Linked DNA regions of Rattus norvegicus. The protein of the gene in region 1 interacts with the protein of each later gene in a pairwise test. Links are inferred from orthologs where the notes say so. Each region holds a gene or a part of one and is shown on either strand. Other genes may lie near its edges.

Region 1 (4,267 bases):
ACTCTTGTCTTGCATCATGGCATACTTGGAGATGACCTCATCCAGCCGGCTCATGGCCAAGGTTCGATTCTCCCGAAGGCGGCGAGCCAATGTGGGATCGGTGAGTGCGGGGTCAACGCCTGTGTGGGGAAACAGGGTCAGAGCAGTCAGTCCCAATCCTAGAAGGGATTAGAGCTGCCTCTGTTCCACCTGAAATCATCCCAGGAGCTTCCTACCTGGCCTATAGTCATCTGTGAGGTGGCAGCCAAAGTTATAGATGAGATCCAGGTGGCGGCGCTCCTGTAACCTGACACCCACATCCCGGAAGGCATCCTGAGCCAGGAGCTGAAGCTGCTGTCTGGGAAGGCCCAGACTGTGCCGGGTCGCCGCCTTCTCCACCGCTCTCAGCACATCTCCATAGTCCGGAAACGTGTCAGGCCCCGGCTTGTTGATGAGCCGCTCGATGCGCCTGTTGACCTCTGGGTATCGAGTGCCTCGGTAAGGAATTCGCTGCTCTATGACCCTCCCAGTCAGAGAAGAGCAGTCCTTCAACTCGCACAGCCGCCCAAAGAGGCGGATCAGTTTCCGCTTCAAGCGGGCCTCCTGCAAATAGGAGGAGTCGGGATCATCCAGTTCTGACAGATCCAACTCCTTTTCCTGCAGCCGCTGTATCTCTGCGACATACAGTGCCAGCAGCTGCTCCAAGCGCTGGATCTGCCTCCGGGAGCCTCGAGTCCTTGAGGCCTCAGAGGCAGTGGTTTCGGTGTTTGTAAGGTCAGACGGGGGATCTGTGGGAGGGTTATCACCCGATGATTCCGCTGAGGCTGCGGGAGCTAAGTTCAACTTCTTCTTGATGGAATGAGCTTTAAGGACAGTGCAGAGCTCGTTAATGTAGACGTAGAGCTTCGCTGGCCGGTTCCGAGACCGAGACAGAACCCTGGAGAGGATGTTGCGGAACTCTGCAGAGGCCAGAAAAGCGGACTGAGCACGCTGCTGCAGTTTGTGGAGGAACGGAACCACCTCAGGGTGGTCCGATGTCTGCATCTTACACAGTTCAAGGAACTAAACGGTTCGGGGGAAGGGACGGGAAAACCAAAAAACCAAAAAAAAAAAAAAAAGAGGGAATCAGTGAGGAAGCCAGAACAATCAGCCAATCAAACACCCCTTTCCTTGGGATCTGCCCAATCACATCATAATGGTTCACATCCTTTTCTTTTTTTCTTTTTTTTTTTTTTTGGTTCTTTTTTTCGGAGCTGGGGACCGAACCCAGGGCCTTGCGCTTCCTAGGCAAGCACTCTACCACTGAGCTAAATCCCCAACCCCCACATCCTTTTCTTAAAAAGATGTATTCTATATATGAGTACACTGTAGCTGTCTTCAGACGCCAGAAGAGGGCATCAGATCCCATTACAGATGGTTGTGAGCTACTATGTGGTTTCTGGGATTTGAACTCGATACCTCTAGAAGGGTAGTCAGTGCTCTTAACCACTGAGCTGTCTCTCCAGCCCAGTGATTCACATCTTGAATCCCAGCTGTCAGGAGGCAAAGGCAAGTAGAACTCTGTGAGTTCAAGGCCAGCCTCATCTAGACAGTTCCAGGCAACCAGGGCCACAAAGCGAGACCCTTCTCTTAAAGGAAAGGGAGCCTTCCCTGAAGCTTACCTCTTCAAACAGCTTCTCATTCTCCAACTTGTAGCACTTCCTGCTACCTGAGTTACTGCTCCCTCCATCCCCATGGGACTCAGAGGGACCAGAGGCTTCTGGTCCTGGTGAGACAGGATTAGAGGCTGGGTTGGAGGGTCCTGGCTGAGCAGCTGCTTCATCTTCATCATCATCGTCAAGCACAATGATGCTGTCATCGGTGGCCATGGGGGATCAAATCCCCCTGAGGGAAAAAGTATTTGAAAGGTCAGAATTCTGGAAGGGAAAGGGTGACTCAGGAAAAGCCCCTCCTCCTTAGTCCCACTCAGTCAGATACCTCAGGGTTCACAATAGCCTCGTCCTTTCTGAGATGTCTTCAAAGCCTGTCTTTTGCAACTATCAGTCTCAGGCAGTTCTGAAGGGGAACCTCCCCATCGATCGTCTCAAGTCCCAAATTTCAGCCCCCAGTCAATTTCCTGTCTTTCGGTTGCGTTTTCCCCACTCTCTTGTCAGCTGGTGAGTTTTTTCTTCCTACTCCCAATCCGATGGGGTATAAGATCCCACACTGCTCTCTCCGTCTACAGAAACCAACACCCAGTCGATACCACCACATGGGTTTGCCCACCTCTCGCCCTCCATCATCACAGTCCCCTCCGACTTCTTCCTAACTCCAACTCTTCCACTCCGAGGTTAAAGGGTTTCCCTCTGAAGAGCCTGGTGTCCTTCCCGCTCCTACAACCATCTCCATGTTCCACCTTCCACAAACCCGGACTTCAGGCTGGAGATTTTTCACCTCCAGTCCCCTCCCTCTCACCGCACCCAGGTTTTCCCCATTCTCTGTGACTCGTAACCGACAGCAAGCCCACCACTCAGCATTCCCAATGTCTGGGCTTCCAGCCCCAGGCGAGGACAGTCTCCAGCCTCAGCTTCCCGCCAAGTAACCCTCTCCGCGTTCAGCCCTAGGCCGCCACATTCCCCTTCAGGGCTAGCAAGGTACCATACAAGCTCGCCCCTCAGACTCCGCAGCCAGGCCGTGCGGATCCTTCGCCTTCGCCAACTCCTGCGCCGCCACCCCGGCTCCACGAACGACCTGGCCCCCACCTCAGAAACGGTCTCTCGAGGCTCCCCTCAGCGCGGATCACAAATCCTCGCAAAGTTCCCTCCGCCTTCCTTTCCCCCACCCCCACCTCAGGCCCTACAACAGACCGGAAGGCGCGGAGTTTCCGCCTGCAGCACCTGAGGGCGGCCATATTGCTGTACGGGACCTAGGCTTCTTGGGACCGGAAGTGACGCGTGGCCCGCCCACCTAGGCCGCCGCTCCGGGTGCACTGACACTCAGGGGGGCGGGGCCTGGGACCAGGTAGATGGGGCGCGCCACGTTGCCGTACGGCACCAGCCAGCTCCGCGAGGCGTGGAGCTCTTTGCACCAGGAGCTTGCCAAAGCCACTCGGCCAATCAGAAACTTCCTGCCCCAGACCTGCCCTCCCACCCCACGCCATCGGCTGGAGGGCGGGGAAGACCTTCCCATCCTTCCATCCGAGCAGGTACCTAAGGAGCTGGTGTGTCTATGGCTGTGTAGGGCTCCAGGGAAGGAAATAAAGGATTTTCTTTTCCTGTTGGTGTAAGCCTGGCACTCCCTACTTTGCTTTCCCTCCGACCAAGAGTTCCACCGCCTGGTTGCCTATGCTTGCCCTTCCCTTTAAGAGCCGGCGTGCACTTGGAGGCTGTCCAGCCCGGGCCTCCTGGGTCAGGTGCACACACACGCACACGCACATATGCATGCATACAAATGAGCACAGCATGCTGCCCGAGTGAGGTATTGTTATTATTGCGGTCCGCGAGACTGGATGCTCAATCTGCACCACAGACCGAGCTCCCTACTGGGAACCGTGGCCCCTGTTCCACCGAGGGTCGTCTTGACTGTATGGAAGGCAGTGCTTCCGGGCAGGGGTCTGCAGGGCGTTGAGGCGGAGCGCGGGATAACCTGGTGCGGGCTTGGTGAGAAGCCCTGCAAGCTGCCGCTGGGAGCGCTGGGAAACGAATCGAGGCTCATAAAATCACGCGGGGTGTCTTCCTTCTCCTGGAGAGCTGCGGAGAAAAGGAAGAGGGGAAAACAACTGTGTGATGCCGGCCGGGCCCGGGGTGGAGAGGCGAGGCCCTCAGGTGTGCTGACGAGGAAGCCTGATAAGTCAACACCCTTCGCGCGGAGACTGCATCAACGCGGTCTTCCTGCCTCAGGTGGCGGGCATCTTACCAATGTGCAGGACCAAGAAAAGCCCAGCTGCTCTCGGGGCTGGGGATTTAGCTCAGTGGTAGAGCACTTGCCTAGCAAGCACAAGGCCCTGGGTTCGGTCCTCAGCCCCCCCCCCCCCAAAAAAAGAAAGCCCAGCTGCTCTCAAGAGAACCCGAACTACAAATTTAAACCCACTTCTTCCTCGCTTCCCGTCCGGTCTTACGGCTTTCAATGGGGGCGGGGGGGGGTTTCCAGTGGCTAACGGGACTCTAAAGATAATGAAGGTTTTAATTTTCATATCCTTGGGTTTCTCAAAGTGGGTTTCCCAGAGTGAATGCCTGAAATGAAGGTTCCCCACCTTTTCACAATTATTTCGGTTTTATGTGTGTGCCGGTGTAAGTCTCTGCATGACATG
Region 2 (4,268 bases), on another chromosome or scaffold:
GGTCCTAGAGATCCTGCTTTACCCACACAGAGCAGCTCACAGCAAGCAGGCAGCAGAGCACACAGCCCACTCTTTAAATCTGACTCCTATAATAGACCTGAGGCACTTTTAATGAATGAAATGCCCTTCTGCAGAGTTCTACAGCCCTTGAGAAGACAGCCCAGAAGCCACAGGCATCTTGGGAATAGAGGAGCTCCCCTAAGATACAGTTTAATTTTAACAGCTCTGCACTGGAAACTCATACAGACAAGATGTTCTTTTCAGTAGAATTGAGAGGGAGAGGGAGAGAGGAAGAAAGAGCACCCCAGTTAACTCCTACAGTCATGTATCTACATGTGGTTCTTGTTCTGTGAAACCTTTATTACGAAAATTCACTTAAATAGGATGCAACTATTTTAAGTGACTTTTCAGCAATCTGTGGCTTGAATGGGAGACCTCAATATAGGCTGGAACCACTTAGAATCCAAAAGAGGGAGGAAAATCCAAGGGTCCTGAAGCTTGGGTATCACTGGGCAGGGATCTGGGACTACCTTGGACCCAAGTCTGTCTTCCACCTGTGGAATGCCATCTAGGGTCAGCGGACATTGGCAGTTCAGTTCCCAGGCTCTGGCTGGGAAAAGTCAAGTTTCACACTGTGGCTGATATAGTAAGCCAAACCTTTAATGGTAGCAGTAAAGCAGTTGACAGTGTCCTGCACCTCCACTGCACTTACTGGGTGGACTCCATGGAAGAAGAGCCTGGTGGCAGCCACTGCAATCCTTAGGCCTCAGGCATAGAAGATGAGCTCTGGAATCTGTCCACCCTGAACTCCAGTTCCATTGGTACTGTCCGAGGAGCACTGGAACTGGAAGGCCACCTTTCCACACTGCACCTCTGTCATTCCTTCTTGCCCAAAGTAGCTGAGCTCACTGCCATCCAGGACAGCACTGGCAGTGTAGAAGGTGTCCTGCTCCACCTGGACTGGGTGCTCAAACCAGACAGGGAATGTGTTGCTGGATCCATCTGAAACAAACTTGGTGAGGTTCTGAGCCAGGACCATCCCTAGCCGCTTGAGTTCAATCTTCACGCTGTACTCAGCCTTCCCAGAACTGGACCCATATAAGCCCAGCCCAGCAATGAACACCCTTCTGTCCACTGCAAACTGGATGCTGTCACAGCGCCCACGGTACCTCCACTGGTTACTTCGGTAGGCAGAAGACTGGAAGCGGTGGCACCTCTGTGGAACAAGGCCCTTCCTCTTGGTCAGGGGGAAGTCAAGGGGGGGTTTTTTGGCAGCAGTGTACCAAAGGAAGATGTTGTGGGTCTCTTCTAAAGTCAGGATATCTGACTGGGCAGGACCATTAGCAAACTCCTCTAGTGTCATAGTTGGAATTCGAACCAAGTAGAGGGCTCGTCCCAAAACATGCCTCTTGTTATGAGGAGTGACTGGGAGGCCCTGTCTCTTGCACTCTGCTTCAGCCCAGTTCAGGACAGCCTCGAAGACCACAGCCTCCTTGGTATTGAGGGCCTCCCTGGTCACAATGATCTCCAGTGTCTGCCGGTCAATTTCACAGAAGCCTTCAGACCTCAGGGCCATTTCAGCCTGTGCATCAATGACTTCCCAGCATCGCTGGGTCAGTTCAGGCTCCTCAAACAGTCGGCTCTGGGACAGCAGGACACAGGCGTTTTTGGCTTCCAGACTTGTTTCCAGAAAGTTGACACAGGCCTTGGCTAGGGCAGGCACAATGTACTTCTTAGCAGCATACAGAGTGGCAAGCACTGTGTCGGCCTCCAGATCAATCTCATCGCTGTACATGTACCTGGGTAAGGCAGGGACTCTCCTGGGGAGCTGCAAGGGCTGAGGAGCTCATGGGCTCCCCTGCACAACCTCTTGGGTTGTAGCAAACATGAAGGGGAACATTGGAAGGTAACCACCCCATCCTTCCAGACCCAGAGCACAGCACTTACTTTAACAAGACCAGGAAGGCAGCAGGCTCCACATCAGGAATGTGGATTTCGGACTTGACTTCTGCAAGATCCCCGTAGAACATAGCATAGAAGACCGAGCTGCCGACAGCTAAGACATACTGTGGATGAAAGAAAACCACCTGAGCAACAGGGCAGTAAAGAAGGCCCAGGGAGACGCCCCTAGCCAGGCTCACCAGGGGACAGGGCTGCTCCTCTACCCACCTTGTGGGCGGGCACACGCCTGGCTGCCCCCAGGGCCCCCACGATGAAATGGACGTCGGCCATCAGCTCGTTGTTGAACATGAGCGCATTCCTGCAAAGGGCAGAGGCACACGGGCTGGAACGGCGCGCGCCCAGGCTCCAAGGCCCGGGGGCGGGCGGCGGCTCACCTCTCGCGCAGCGTAGGGTGGAATGACTGCCAGTTGGGGCTCTCGGGATTGTTGTTGTCTGGCAAGGGCGGCGCGGGCAAGGGTGGCAGCGGGGCGGGCGCCAGGCAGGGTGGGCAGCAAAGGCCAACCTTCGTGCTTTCGGCCGCGCCCGCCGCGTTGCTGTTGGCGATGTCGGTGGCAGTAGCTGCAGAGGCACCGGCAGGCGGGTACAGTTCCGCGGCCATCTTCGCTCCTGCCGGGGCGGCCTCCGCACTGGTCAGTACTGCGCCGCGCGCCTTCGCCCCGCGACGGGGCCTGGGAAGCGGCTCTGCGAGCACCAGCAGGGAGGTTAGGCACTGCGCCACCCGCCCATGCAGGCAGGCGAGCGGCAGCAGCATGGGGCCGCGCTGGCCCTGCCCGCCGCCCACCCGCACCCCACACCCCGCACCGAGCCCGCGGCCGGGCCGCAGGGGGCGCCGTCCCGCCCGTACCCTTTGCTGCGGCGCCGGCGTCTCTCGTCACTGTGCGTCGAGACGCGGCTCCTCGTTCCAGGGCCCCGCCCCCCGGGGGAGGGGAGGGAGTGCTGAAGCCCCGCCCGGGTGCCTAGGTTTAAGGGTGGATTGTGTAGTAGCATGTTCTGACTCTGAAATGAGATTTATCCAACAGCTCAGGTTTTGAAAAAGAACTTGACCCAGCCAGCTTTTCTCCGTGGACGAAATGAGTCTTAGACGCAAGGCTTAATCTTCCCCTTTTGTGTCTAGCTTCTTTTTTGTTGTTGTTGTTGTTGTTCTTTTTTTCGGAGCTGGGGACCGAACCCAGGGCCTTGCGCTTCCTAGGTAAGCGCTCTACCACTGAGCTAAATCCCCAGCCCCGTGTGTCTAGCTTCTTTAACAAAGCATAAAGTCAAGGGCAGTAGACATTTTAGTATGTCAGAATTTCTTTTTCTTTCACGAATCCGGACCTCATGTGCCTCTGTGTGGCTTCAAACTCTGTATGTAGACCTTCCTTTTTAAGTTGATTATTCCAATGTGTTACGTTTTATTTGCCAGTTTATCCAGCCAGTGGGGGGACTGACTCCAGAGTGGGTTCCATATCCCAGCTGTGATGACCATAGAAAGGCAAGTTATCCTTTCCAGACCCTAATTGCAATTCTTTGGGTTTTACCTAGAAGTAAAGGTAATACAGGCTGGGAAAACAAGGTTTACTGTTACATGTAGAACTATGACCAAACTAAAGGTGTACACATTAAAAAGACAACAGCGGGGCTGGAGAGATGGCTCAGCGGTTAAGAGCTCCGACTGCTCTTCCAGAGGTCCTGAGTTCAATTCCCAGCAACCATATGGTGGCTCACAACATCTGTAATGAGGTCTGGTGTTCTGAAGACAGCTACAGTGTACTCGTATACATTAAATAAATAAAAAGACAACAACGAAAATAATAGCAAAACCATGGGGCACACAGAGCAATGATTCAACATAGGTGAAAGTAGACACGATAACTTCAGACTTCAAAGAATCAGCATAGCAAAGGAGCTTGTCCACAGACAAGGCCACCACAAAGAAGGGAGAAAATATCTAAAGAGCGCAGTGTAGAAAAGCAAATGGATTAGACAATGGACAAGTGACTTGAGCAGATGCTTCTTTCAAGAAGACACACAGATGACCAAGAAACATGGCAAGCTGTTTGATATCAACAATCAAGATCCCACCTCAGCCACTAGCATAACCTCTGTAAAACCCAGAATGTTACAACAAGGTTTAGCCATGATAGAGAAAAGAGTCTGCACACTGTGAAAGATTGAAAAAATAATACAACCATTAAAAAAGGCCATTGCAAAGTTTGCTCAGAAAAGTAAATGGAGCTGGGCAGTGATGGTGTACACATTTAATCCCAGAACTCAGGAGACACGGGCAGACAGATCTGAGTCTGAGTTCCAGGACTGCCAGGGCCACA

The links.
Region 2: the proteins of Daxx (region 1) and Btbd6 interact in a two-hybrid assay, tested with the Homo sapiens proteins (2 studies listed by BioGRID and IntAct). The link is inferred for Rattus norvegicus from reciprocal best matches to the Homo sapiens genes DAXX and BTBD6.

What each region holds. Positions count from the first base shown.
Region 1 is NC_086038.1:4,974,921-4,979,187, forward strand, and holds the start of Daxx (death domain-associated protein 6), read right to left. Parts: upstream 2,801-4,267; 5' UTR 2,721-2,800; exon of another isoform or gene 2,617-2,720; intron 2,198-2,616; exon of another isoform or gene 1,957-2,197; intron 1,864-1,956; 5' UTR 1,848-1,863; coding exon 1,641-1,847; intron 1,042-1,640; coding exon 216-1,041; intron 120-215; coding exon 1-119. UniProt on the Homo sapiens protein: Transcription corepressor known to repress transcriptional potential of several sumoylated transcription factors. Down-regulates basal and activated transcription.
Region 2 is NC_086024.1:137,877,734-137,882,001, reverse strand, and holds Btbd6 (BTB/POZ domain-containing protein 6), read right to left. Parts: upstream 2,801-4,268; 5' UTR 2,714-2,800; coding exon 2,337-2,713; intron 2,261-2,336; coding exon 2,170-2,260; intron 2,067-2,169; coding exon 1,948-2,066; intron 1,800-1,947; coding exon 767-1,799; 3' UTR 340-766; downstream 1-339. UniProt on the Homo sapiens protein: Adapter protein for the cul3 E3 ubiquitin-protein ligase complex. Involved in late neuronal development and muscle formation.